Linked DNA regions of Lepisosteus oculatus. The protein of the gene in region 2 purifies or fractionates together with the protein of the main gene of each other region. This does not show direct contact. Links are inferred from orthologs where the notes say so. Each region holds a gene or a part of one and is shown on either strand. Other genes may lie near its edges.

Region 1 (6,887 bases), on a different chromosome or scaffold from region 2:
CCAATTCAGGGTCGCAGGGGAGCCGGAGCCTATCCCAGCAAGCAACAGGCACAAGGAACCCAGAACTATTTCCTCTTCAAATACCAGGAGCTGCACTGCTCTATACAGACAAGCACAGACATACAAAAACAAGCAACTGCTGTTGTCTTTTCTATCAAAAGAGCAGTTCTCAGTACGAGTTTGCTGAGAGACAGGGGCTCATTTGCAGTGTCATGATGGAGTAGTTATACCTGATATTCTACAATCTCCTGGAAAAATCAAAGCATGACATTTTGACCTGGTCATACTATGGGACAGCACTAGCTAATAAATTGTGGCCTAAGGGGTGTAGCATTATGTATTCAAGTGTACAAGTAGGTTTACTGGTAAAACAGACTGCAGAAGACATTGCATGCTGGGTACCGGTGCTGTCCCCTACCAGCCTGATCCTGCTCCCCGTACCACGTATTCCAGGTGCCCACCAGCTCACAGGGGTAGTGCTTATCTGCATGGATTGATGGCAAAACCTCCTCGCTGTATGGAGAGTTAAATTAGTCAAACACTTCAAAGGCCATTGTCTCGGGCACAAAGCTTTTGCTTCACCTTCACCTTTGTCACTCTTGCTCAGACAGACCCCTTCCTCAGCTGCATCTTAAGTGACTGCATTGTCATTTCTTGCAGCTGCTGCTGCTTTACAGTCCTTGCTGTCGATTGTGCTTTTGCCTAGTGTTATGATCATCGGATTGTTCAGTTAGGAAACAGTCCCCTACATAGTCATAAGCCAAAACCATCTGCTTCCATATTCATAAAGAGCTCCCATGTGCATTCTACATGCCAGGGCACACTAATTCCTTTCTGTAAAGTTAAATGGTGTGCAATCTTTATTTAAATATGATCCACATATTTTTCCAAATCATCTTTTTTAAAGAGTTTTTCAAATTTGTTAGCCTACTTCATGCTTTTTACCTGTGTGGGTACAAGCAGGAACAATTACCAACACCGTGAAACAGCAGGATAAAGATCTATTATTCATTGGTCTGCAGTTATGAATCACCAAGAAGCTTTGTAATAAATGAATGAAATCAGGCATATTCATACCTGCAAATACATTGTAAATTCATAACTGGCTCATGGAAACATCAAAAGTTCTTGTTTTAAATTTTTCAAAAATTCACACATTTTATTTTTTTTTCAAATAAATCATTCCAAATGTATCGGGTGCTATAACACACTCTATGACATAAAATCCCATCACGCTCAGTTTAACTACAGCTATACAGATGTTCCTGTTTTTGCTTAGCAAGAATGATAGCAGAAAGCTCACCAAAGTTTGTTGTAGGCATCCAGGCACTCAGGTTTTACATTGTGAACTGGAAACAAAAATAAAAACATTCAAAAATTTGAGTGTTCCTCTTAAGTTAAGAAAAGTAAATAGCTAACACCACTTTTTCTCTACTTGTGGCTTTTCACAAAGAAAAAAGGTCTTGATATATTACACTAACAACAAGCCTTTCAGAATAACTTGCCAACATGATGTTTGTTGCATCTGGTAATAGCAAGGAATACAGTGATGAGCAAGGAACTTACACTGAATTTTGTACAGGTTACTGGTTTCCTTCTTAGCGAGGAGGTTAGAGTGGGCGTCTTTTCTCGGATCAACCTTTCGGACGAAGAGAGACTTGAACCAGCTGTCCTCCCCATTCCTGTTAGTAGACGCTGACAGGGCTCTGAAGGCAACAGTGAGAAGCCAAGAATGTCATTGGTACTGAGACAGGTTTTACACAAGTTTTAATACACTCGCGCCTGAAAGTGTGCATGTGCACCATAGCAGAAATACTATCATAGCAATATATAATACTTCCAGAAAAGCCACGTTAAAGTTGGAGAAATAAAAAAATATATAACTAGAGGTTCATTTACACCTATTTCGATCTCCAGTGAATAATGAGCTCTCTGTTGATTGATGCTTGTAAGCACATCGCCCACATCTGATTAGAGCTCCAGAAACTGAAATCTGAAATAACCAGCCTCCTTCCCACCCTTAATAGTGATGAGGGATACTGAAGGTCTATGAGGAGAAAAATAGCCTGAAAAGTCCCCCCACCACTACCTTCATAAGCATTTTTGGAGGTCATTAGTGTTGCTACTGACCGGGCCTAACCTTGCTGTGGTACTGAGGAGAGACTCTATGCATATGAACACATACTGTATGACGACAGTGGTCGTAAGGCGGAATAGTGTTTCAATTTTATTATAAAATGGGAATACGTCCAATATCATAATCGGTGTTACTGAATCTAAAAATAATACACATATGTCCGGATAAATCAGAAAGAATGGCATAACTAAAAATAAATATCACATAAGCCTAAGTACTACACTGAATAAACCACGCAGAAAACACTGCGTTGACAAAAAAAAAGTGTCAAGGTCAATCACATAATTAACGGTGAAAACAAAGAAAAATGGTAGTCAGTGCCCTCCTTACAACGGTAACCATGTATGCTCAGTAAACAAAGACATTTATAATGACCTTGAGCTGCAATTGGATAAACTGCAGGCACACCACCGACAAAAACTTCCTGCGAGATAGTCGGCCTGTTTCGAGGTCAATATTAAAAAGGGAAACGAAAGGAAACAGGAGGCCCAAAAGTATAACTGGTGTTGCTTTAAGATAAAGTTTTAAACGTTGTTGTTTTTTTTATATCTCAGCGCAAATTGCACACAGCCCAAACAGGGCTGGAAGCGCATTATTTTCCCAACCTACACTACAGTTTGGAGGGGGCGGCGACATCGGCTGCACAAAAAAAGCATGGACCTAAACACGCAGAAAGAGCACCTTTAGTATGAGAGAAAAAAAACACCGCGATGTTTATTACAAACTGCGCGGAAAGAGACGAACCTGGAGACGAAAACGAGCTGTCCTCGGGCTCGGACCCTAGTTCTTGCTTGATTCAGGTCGGCCCCCAAACTCCGAAGGACTCGAGTCGCCATCTTCCTCAGGCTGAGCATTTCCTGCCACTGATAACGACGTAACAGATTATCTGAATCAGGAAAGCCATTGGAGGGCAGTGAAGGCAATTTATGCAAAGAATCGACGTGATGTCTAAGGTCCTGAGCTTTCATCTTGCAAATCTGGGGGTACGCTACTCCAAGAAAAGACTTGTTTTGCTTACGGATGGTAACTGTCCGTAGGGTGCAACCTCACATTTTGGAATGGTCTTAAGATTGCGAGGTAATCATGTTTTGAACACGTGCAATTAGGACTAAGAAGAGAGAATAAAACGTTCGAAGTGTAACTGTTAAAATATAGATCACAAGACTCAAGTGAAGCTAGAAATACCTTTAATGTTTCAAAAAGCTTTTTAAATTAAAATTAGAAATGTAATTTACAATGGTAATGTTGTGCTAATAACATACAGGGAATTCCCTTAGTAACCTAGCTATATCATATACAGTATTCCCATAAATGGAGAAAACAATGTTATATAAACAACGCAGTTAACACAGAAATCATCAACATCGCAATTATATGTTGACAATTCTGTATTCCAACCCAAATTGATTTTCTATTTTGCCAAAACCATCAGATATGTAGGGAATTCACTAAACATATTTTATATGTGCAACATACATATTCTTCAAAGGTTTTAATATTCAAATCATTTCATTTATTTGACATGGGAGTGCCAAGGAGAGTAAGTGTACTGTACAGCATAGTCTCGAAAAAATGATGTTGTAATATTTACAATTCAAAAAGCTTACTGTAGCTCCGAGCGCATCATTTAACCAGATAACTCAACTGAGAATTCTCATTTATAAAGATGATCTGGAGAATACCGATTTATATAATTTTGCTATATACTGTAGTGGGTCAGCATGTGTAAATTACTATACCTTGCTCAAGGGTACAATCGCAGTGCTTCAAATTTTTCACATTAAAAAAGATGCAATTTTATTTAATAGCTAATCAAAGAATCTTGATTCCATAGAGGTACATTTTATACAATTGATTTTTTAACTTCTAAATATTAAAGCAGTGCCGTTGCACAACAGTATATCAGAAAGCTTCAAAGGAATCAAGTACAAAAGAAAACTGTTTTAGCTGTGGAATCTTCTTCAGGCATGAGGGTTCATCATACCCTATTCCTCAGCTATAATAAAATAATAAACTTTATTTTACATAGTACCTTTAAAAGTGGCTACTCAGAGTGCTTTACAGAACAAAACAAATGCACAGTGAGAGGAGACAGTTCTTCTGAAACCTAAAGACTGCAGTTCAAATATTTTTTTTCTTTCTGCTTTACTTTTCCTGTTGGAATGAACTCTGCTTGTTCCTTGATTTACTTTTCAATGTGCTAACACATTTTCACATCTGAAAAAACTAAATTAAAACAAAAATCGATCAAGACAGATATGGACATCATGACACATTGCAAAAAAAAAGTTTATTTTTAAAATGACTTTTTCAGACTTCAGAAGATTTCTCTGGAGTTTTGCTTGATGCTGCTGTGATGTTCAGTTCCTGGAGCTTCTCGGTTAAAGATTCAGCGGTAGTCTCTGTGGAGTCTGAGAGGGGCTCCAAAAACAGGCTTCCAGCAACCTGCTTCCCAGTGAGTGGGTCTACAACCTTCCCAACCTTATACACAACTTCTGCAAGTTCATGCTTAACGTGTTTTGACTTTTTCTCAGGCAGTGCCTTCAAAAGAACCACGTCTCCAACAGTGCACTGTTCCAGAGCGTCGTGTGCAAAATAAGTCTTCCTTTTGTTGTAGAACTGTGAATGACATGATATACCATAAACCTGATGTTAAAAATTGGACATTTTGAAGCAGCAGTTTATGAACTGTTATGAACTGTCAATGCAAGTTCTTTACAATACCAGAATTTGTACATCATTATTTAGAATTATATCCACTAGTTTAACTTAATTCACATTAAATCCACATCTAATCAACTCTGTAATCTGTTTTTTTTGTTTGGACATTCATTCTTTTTCTACAAATTTAAAACAATATCCGTGCATTTGCTAAACTGAGACTGGCATATATAGATAGAACATTTTCATCTTGTAGACATCAGATTTTTTGCGATAGTTGTCGCCAAAATCAAACAGATTCAAATATATAATATTTACCTTCATCAGATACCGATCCAATACAAGTCTTGTCACTCGAACTTTTGCGGTTTTCTGCATTTTGGTTCCGATCACCTTGCCTATTATCCATCTGGCGTGGACTGAGGCTTGTTTTGCAGACATTCTGACAGCTTTCAAAACCTTACGGAAAAGTAAAATCAGCAAAAGGTCAAAACCATCGCGGATCTTAAAGGTCTTTATTGTACGAAAACTGAAAATTACCAGCAGCAAAACGATACCTTCGCCTACACTGACACTTTTTTATAATAAAAAACAACTTTTTGCACTATTGTTGTATCACATACATAATAGAATAACGAATGTAAGCGCGTTTTAAGCATTTCACTATAATATAGCAAATGTATAATCTAAATTTGATAAATCTACAGGTGATTTAGATTAAGCTAATGCTTAACTCTGAATAAAAATATCTTGCAAAAGATATACATTTTTAATCTATTGCAAAATTAGCTCGCGTAAACAAAGTGTATTATAGCAAGCACATGTTCAAAATTAGAAGACAATGATCTATTTTAAGACACTGACAAAATGTCTCCCAGATACGGAACTTCTTACCCTAAAATGTAAGACAGAGTATTAGCAAAAATACGAAAATCGATTAAACTATGAAGGTCAGGAATTCGGAAATCTCTTTCTCCATGCCTTCTGTGATAAAGCGGCGCATTATGATGACGCCATAAACAGAAACTACGGCACCTCGGAAGGGGAAAGGCGACACTTGAACAATGTCAAAACAAAACCGAGATTTGTATGCAGACGCATAGCATAAATACGCGGTATGGGACATTATATCATGTTCATACAGCAACATCATAACTTTAAAATGCAATGGCGGTGGAATGCAATCAGGTCATACACATCCACATAGAATACTAATACTTTAAAAACACTTCAGGTGTTACTAAATATGATGGATAAAGTTTGCAACAATACGATTTTAACGTAGCGATTAATAAAAAACGTGAGAAATACAGTCTAGCCTGGTAAAAAAAAAATCTCTATCGCATAGGGTCAAACCTCAGTGATATCTCTATTGCTTTGAAAAAATCAAGCAGTTTTAAAAAAAAAACAGCTGCCTGCTGTTCATTCTCTCACCTGTAGAGTGAAACAAAGCCTCTTTATCGAAACTCGTGAAGTTAATCGTTGTTACTCTATTTAAAAATAAGTTTTAAAAAATACTGAGAGATTTGGTTAAAACTTTTACTTTTATTTCCCAGAAATGGGAGTTTCGGAGAACTTTTTTGTTATTGGTCTTATTTCGTTAATATTCATCGCTTAAGGGTAAGACCTAGGCGTTGAGTACAAGCGAGCCATTCGATTTTTGCTCCGCTCGGACAGGATACGTGCTTGGACTTTTTTCCGAGGACTTGGCCTTGTGTTGTTGATCTACCGAAAAGGTATATATAAACAGAAAATAATGTACTCATTTGAACCTCTAGACAGTTTTTCTAAGATATAATAAGCCTTTTGATATTGAAGTTTGTGTTTGCTTAAAAAGTTGTAGCATATGGTCAAAATAGATTGTCTCAGTATAGTTGTTTTGATTAGTACAGTTTGGGCTGCTTTGAGTTTGTGTTTCTAATGTTGACACGTTTTTAATACAGCTGTGTTTACGAACTCCTGTTTTAAAGTTTGGCAAGAAAGACCAACTTGTTTAAGAAATATAAAAGTAAGAAATGAAAAAAGAACCAGTCGAACGATTAAAATCTTTTCTGGTCGTTACTCGAACAGGAGTAATACAGCCGAAAGC
Region 2 (6,955 bases):
AGAAATAGAGGGATCTTCTCAGTTACCCCCCCCGGATGATCCAAGTGTAATTCAGAATTATTGACACGATGCTAGAGTGTTGAAACACTTATCTTGTGCTCAGAGCTGGGTCTTTTTGTGAAGTCCCCCTGCACCAAAGTGAAAAACACTGTCTGCCACTGCTTGAAAGACTTCTACTGTGTGGACGGCAGCAGTGAAGAATGCCACCTGTGTCCTAAACACTCCGTCTGTCAGCCAGGACAGTGGGTTAAGCAGAATGGTAAGTCAGAAACCTGGTTCCTTTCTGCTTCTATTTATGTGTTTTTTGTAACCAGTCTGTTTTAATTTGGTTTGATACACGGATGATCTTTCAGAACACAAGCCAAGTGTCAACTAAGAATCGGTTATTGATTTATATCATGTACTGTTTAAGCTAATCATAAGATGGCTTGGTGACAGAGTGGCTAGCATGGCTGCCTCACATGGCTGGGCCCTGTGTTCAGTTCCAGACCAGGGGTGCCGTGTCTGTCCGCCCTGTGTTTGTGGGTTTCTGCTGGGAGCTCTGGTTTCCTGCCACAGTCCAAAGACATAATAAGTTAAAGGGAGTCTGGGAAAACTGGCCTTGGTGTGCATGCAAGAGTGTGTGCGTGTGTGTGCCTGTATTTGTGTCTGTCTGCCCTGTGATAGACAGGCGTCCCGTCTAGAGTGTCTCCTGGCGTGTGCCCATTGGTTGCCAGAATAGACTCCAGCTCCCCTGCATGCAACCCTGAATAAGAATAAATAGACAAGAAATGGATGCACATGTTAATCATAACTTATGTGTTATTAATATGTTCAGGAACAGCTAAATCTGACACCATTTGTGAAGAATGCCCTACTGGCACATTTTCAGCAGAAGAAATGTCATTATCATGCACACCCTGGACTGTGTAAGTGTCTACATCTTTCTTTTGGTGTCTTGTAAAATAATGTCAAAATGAATGCACTAATATTATTTTTTTACTGATACTGCGGTATGTTATGAACATTCAATATCTCATCTTGACATCTTGACACTTTTGAATTGTGAGTGCTTTTATTTCCAAGAACATAATCCATGAGCTTTTGCACAGGGACAGATCATGATGTTCCTGTTTTTTGGCATGAAGGTACAGTTCCAAACCAGGATGGTGCCGGGAAAACTGAGCTGAGTGAAAATTGTAACCCGTGGTATTTCACAACCAGAGACAAATTGGTTGAAATAATATATTCTCCATGTATATGGTTTTTCCCCCAGACCAGGAAGTGCAAAAGGACTGTTTAACCCATTCCAGTCCAGTGCAGCATCTTAGAAAAGATATTCCGTATACAGTAGAAGCAGCTGATTCTAGGACTGACTACATGTTTTCCATACTCCCCAGTCACACTGCCACTACCCACCAGAATTCTGGTACTAGATTGTGGTGAACGCCTTCCTGTCATAACAGGAAGATGGATTGTAACCTGTGATATCCAGGCTATCTAACAAATCTTGATTACCGGGAGTCATTAAGGAACTACATCCTACAGTCATGAACAGAGTCAGAAATAGCTCATGAAGGTGAATGGCCTTTTAGTTTTAGACCAGGGCTCGATATCTATGCTTAGATTAAATCCAGAACTTTTCTCACACTCATATGTTCCAAGTTCTTTCTTCATGGGGGAGTAAAGATCAAGTACCTGTATGAAGTATATGCCTGAAGTCTAGTTTAGTAAAAGCACATGTAGAACCAGAATCAGTATCTGTCTTGGCCTCTTCAACAGCTCTTCTGTGGAAATCAATAGGGATAGACGATGAACAGTTTGCAGATGAGAATAAAATAATACAGTAGCAGGGCTTCGAAAACCAAATGTTATTTTTTTCTTGTGTTGATGTGTTCTCATACTGGTTTATTCTTGTATCATGTGTGTGTATTCTTTTGTCTTTTCAAGGTGTTCAGGTGGTGTCCTGTCTAGAGGAAATTCAACCACTGACGTAAACTGTAATGCATCCGTATCAAGACAGCATACCATACTTGTTGTTTTCATAGTTGTTGTTCTGGTTTTACTTGTATTTTTGATGTACAAACTAAAAACTCAGAAGTCTTAATTATGTGCTTTCAAAGCTATTTAAATATATTGTAAAGAGATTGTGTGACATAAAGTAATGTACCTCAACAGTCAACATCATTCTTGAATAGAATTGTATCCATGAACACAGTCATAAATAGTGCATGAATACCCCTTCAGCTGTATATCTTGGTTTCTTATCTAGGCTTAGATTAAATCCACACTCTATTCATATATTCCATGTTCTTTCTTCATGGAGGGTAGAAAGAAGAACATTCTGTCAAGCAGAAAGCTGAGATTAGTTAATCGATTTGCAATTTGCAGCTTCTCATTTAATGTGGTCCCTACTTTCAATTGGAAATTAAATTGTTTTGATTAAATCCCCATGTTTCAAAACTATGCCAAACTTGAATGGACATTTTTAAATGTAACCAATTTACCTATAACATATAGAATCCACTAATACTAAGTGTTTAATTTTGAAGACATTTCTTACATCGTACTTCTCTTTAGATGGAGGGTTGTATCCAGTGTTGCATTGTCAGAGCACACTAATAATAATTAATGGCATTTATTCACTGAAGTAGGTCCACTACATCCATCACTGAAGTTGGGCACCCTCCTAGGTGATGCCCAATACTACATGTCAGCAGCCCCAATACAGATCAGGCGGAGAAGAGGAATTACTTCGCTAATTAAGAGGGAACTTTAGGGAAACCAGATTATCCAAGAGGTGCAAAAATTGAAAAAGAACTGAAGGTCACGTGAATGTTAAATTTAGAAAAGTATGTAGCATTTTTGTGTATTTTTTGTGAAATAAAATGTTAAAATAAAAAATAATAATAATAATAATTATTATTATTATTAAAAATAAGCACATACTAGATTCTATACTAACACTGGATTCCTTTATATTTTCGTAATTTGCATTACTTTAGAAGAAACATATTGTACTTTCTCTGAATATGTATGTAAGAACTGAGACAGGAAAATAATATGTATGGAGTTTTTTTTGTATTTCTCGGGTTTTTCTATTGTTTGAAATAAAAAATAATTGCACTGTGAACGGCTTTTTATTCCAGACTGTTGGTTTAAGTGTTATATGCAGTTCACACCGCAGGTGGCGCAAACGGCAATTGTAAGAGGACCTCTGCTTTTATGTGGAACTCTTCTCGTAAATTTCAGACACCCTAGAAATCCTCACTTAGAACACCTTGAGGCATTATAATTACAGATCTGGACCTGATTAAGATTTACTGAGATTACATAAAACCTTTTGTACAGCACGACCTTCCTAGAGCAGCTCATTAAAGTACGTTCTCTTGTTGTGCGCAGTCCGCACTTGAACAATGCATTCTTATTTGCATCCAATGTATAAATGCCACCTGTCAAAATAAGACAAAACGACATTTTATTGCTGACTGTAACGTCCTCGCACGGGCAATTTATCGCTGCCCTTTTTAAATTCATTGCATGTATTCAAAACATTTGGATACTATAGATCTTCGTTTTGTATGCATTATGCGCAACGAATGTCCAAACCAAGATATGAATTGGTTTTAAATAAATGCTTAGAGAACTTTCTTCTGTCCTGTTATATTTAGCAGCTATGGAAAAGAAAAATGCATGATATGAGTTGTTCAATATGTTCTGTTTTGCGGGCTTTTGGTTGGACACAGGTAAATCCAACAGTCGTCTGATTGGATAAGGAATTTTCCGTTCACTTTTTAATTCAGGTAAATCCCGAACGGAATTCCAATTGGACGGGGGTAATCCCACGAGTTTTTGGATTGGCTACAGGTGTTGCCTGCTCTTCCCGGATTGGAAAGCAGGTGTGACTCCATCGTTCCGATTGGCTCCGGCTCTGGAATTCTCCGCCATGTTCCCTCAATCCTCCCGGGAGACGCTAGAAGCCGTCTAAACAGAAACTTCTGGAGTTGTTTATGATTGCTGCGAGCTGGGAAGAAAACGATACAAAAATCGAAATAAATACAAGCAATGCACGAGAAAAACAATAACTACCGGGACTAAAAACTCATTTCTGAGAATTTTTAAGCACCGAATTGTTTTTTAACTGGTTTCCTGAAGTTTTTGATTTGGCTATACTTTGCTCAGTAAGATAGCTGTCGTGGGACGGTAAATGTTACAGTTTTACTAACTTCAGATGAATACGTTATCAACAGATTTCTGTATTTTTCCCCCCCGATAGGCAGAACAACATTCTGGTGACGGACGTCTTGGAATAACATGGATTTTTGGAATAAAAAGTTGAAACTTGGAAGTGCACGACTAAATTCCAGTTCAGCCTAATTTAATTTTCCAGTTATACACTTCACATGCTGAACTAATATGTCTATTTTGTCCTCTTTAGCGCAATCATTTAACAAGCCATTGTAGGAGTGTAGTGTAACTGCTGAATTAAAGCTAAATATAATATTGCAACGTACGTCATCTCAGATCATTTATTAACTGCGTAAAATCTATTAATGTTGAGCTGGATGTTAACGCGATGAACATTTGTGTCTAACTCAAGCGGAAAATGTATTTTCCATCCTGTGGGGAATGAATGATTTTATGATTTTATAGAGTCCTCCTTTAAATACAGCAGCTCATTATTATGTGGGTCCGGCAGTTACAGTAGTGTCTGTACCGTACTAGTGTTTCGAGTAATTGCGTTTCAGGAGCAACACAACAGGTGGAATTGAGGAAGGCCAGTCCAGACTTGCCAGTGTCCCTCTGACTACTGTGTCGCGGAATAAGTAACCAAGGCAGGTGACAGGTGACCGAATTCCTAGAAGACGGCAGCATGATACAGAATCGGGGAGAAAATAAATGAGATTTTTAACCTTTTTTTTTTTTTAAAAAAAAGCGCAACCTGTTGAATTCGCCCTGTCGGTTGTAGTCGTTAACACGGAGGGAACCAACAACAGAAGATCCTGTTTCACGTACTGTATTTGCTACCCCACTTCTGTCGGATTACAGTATTGGCTCTTTATATTTAATATTTTTGGAGTACAATGCCTACCAAACAAGGATCCGTGATGAGCATGCACCTGGAATATGTGCAAATTAAGGCACATTACGGCGGGTGAGTGTAATAAGTTTAGGTTTTGTAACCTGATAACTGTTAATTAATTAATGAATTGTCAACAGCCCACGTTAATCGGCTTCCTCTAAATAAACCTCTGTAACGGGACTTTCCACGTTAACTGAGCAGTGTAGTTTTAATCCCGTTGTTGAGGGAATTTTATTTAGATGAACTGATGGTAACCACAGATGAGGTTTGAGTGCTTTGCGATTATTGGCTTTTCGATTTGGACTGCTCTCTCAACCCTTTTCTCAAAGGCTGAAAAGCAAGACAATTCGCCATACTTAGACTAAACATCTTTAACTATTAGATATGCATGTAAACAGTTTCCCCAATTTCCTGACTCCCCTTTGGCTATTGTGAATGACGCTGTCTTCCTCTTCAGGTTGATCAATAACTTTTAAATCTCTTCTCATTCGTTGTTGGCAAGGTTATATGAAAGTTTGAGGTACATTGTCTTACAACATGTTTGCGGATGGTCTTTAGATACTGCCCTGTTAAGTTCTTACTTGGGTATATATAAGTTCTTACTTGCATTATTTATCTGTTGCCCAGTCGGGGGTTTTTTTACGTTTCTGTCTTGTTAGTGTTTGGATGACATTAACCGTGTAGTGGTATGTGTCTTTCAAGGTGCCCACTTGTGCTTTGTGGGAGTTAATTTTTAACTTACTTTCTGTACGCGAAAGAGGCAGATCCCGAAACTCTGAAATCAGGTGTTGCAAGAGTTTGTGTGCGCTCAGTATTACATACAGCTGTCAACGTCACACAGATACTGTTATTTCTGAGTTTCTTAAACTCACGCTTATCCGGGTCATATAAAATATAAGAATATCACGATGGAATTTGGATAATCGTTCCATCTACTTATCAAATCCGTAATGTTTTTGTTTACTAACCTCTTCATTGTATAGGTTTGATGCTACACTATACAACTAATTTAACTTTGGGATAGTTTTTGCACTAACTGCAAATTTCATACTTAGTTCTTCTGTATGCGCTTGGACAGTTGTGTACTTTTCGATTTCTCTAATTTCAATGGAGATTAATTTTAATACTGCTTTCTCTAGTCAGTGTTTATGATTAATCCCCTTTAGTTCTTGGGTTTATTATTGAATCTACCTAGAGTCAAAACAAACTGTGACTGTCTGGGTCTGTGTAGTTCAGAACAGCTCATATATGTAAATACATCAAATGGCTATAGAATTCCTCCGTTGTTTTTTGATGTAGAACTACAATGACTGAGATAAAGTGAATACTTTGTCTCGAGCTTGAGTTAAGTAAATATAGATAAGAGAATATAGTGAGCATCATTTAAGAACACAGTTTGTTTACAAACTTTTTTGGTCCATAGAAAATTCTGCCTTTGGGTTTCTAAAGGCAAATCTTAACACTTGACTATAAAAGTTTTATAGAAAGTTTTAAAAATAATATAAAAGTGACCTTCATTAGAATCAGTGTTTTTATAGAAGGAGAACAATGGAATTGTTCTGACAGAACTTTACCAGACTACAGTCTTGGTAATTTGCTGAGTAGTGCAAAAAATGTTAGTTCTGTTGCTTGTTTAAAGCATTGACCTACTGAGATATAGCGTTAATAAGTCACCAGATTCTAGCATTGGCCTGTTGGATTCTGTTTGGCCTGGAACCTATTGCAGGTGCATGCCAGTTCAGAAAATGACAGCAGAGCAGCTGGCTGAAAAATGACCTGTGTTACACTGTTCCTGAAGCACTCCTTGACTGAAATTGACAGGAGGGGACAGTGTCTTTAAACCAGCTTTCCACACATAATGGAATATTGTGTCTAGTGTGAAAGGCAAGTCAT

Evidence for each region. Proteins that work in one complex are often made in the same cells at the same time.
Region 1: the proteins of prkcz (region 2) and nipsnap2 purify together in Homo sapiens (affinity purification with mass spectrometry; 3 studies listed by BioGRID and IntAct, counting the BioPlex papers as one, with this or other methods). This does not show direct contact. The link is inferred for Lepisosteus oculatus from reciprocal best matches to the Homo sapiens genes PRKCZ and NIPSNAP2.

The regions. Positions count from the first base shown.
Region 1 is NC_090721.1:5,712,991-5,719,877, reverse strand, and holds the start of nipsnap2 (protein NipSnap homolog 2), read right to left. Parts: upstream 3,020-6,887; 5' UTR 2,992-3,019; coding exon 2,882-2,991; intron 1,707-2,881; coding exon 1,567-1,706; intron 1,350-1,566; coding exon 1,304-1,349; intron 514-1,303; coding exon 419-513; intron 1-418. UniProt on the Homo sapiens protein: Protein involved in mitophagy by facilitating recruitment of the autophagy machinery required for clearance of damaged mitochondria.
Region 2 is NC_090720.1:3,965,375-3,972,329, forward strand, and holds the start of prkcz (protein kinase C zeta type), read left to right. Parts: upstream 1-3,939; 5' UTR 3,940-5,063; coding exon 5,064-5,134; intron 5,135-6,955. Other genes in the region: uncharacterized protein, read left to right, coding at 104-259, 818-908, 1,930-2,086. UniProt on the Homo sapiens protein: Calcium- and diacylglycerol-independent serine/threonine-protein kinase that functions in phosphatidylinositol 3-kinase (PI3K) pathway and mitogen-activated protein (MAP) kinase cascade, and is involved in NF-kappa-B activation, mitogenic signaling, cell proliferation, cell polarity, inflammatory response and maintenance of long-term potentiation (LTP).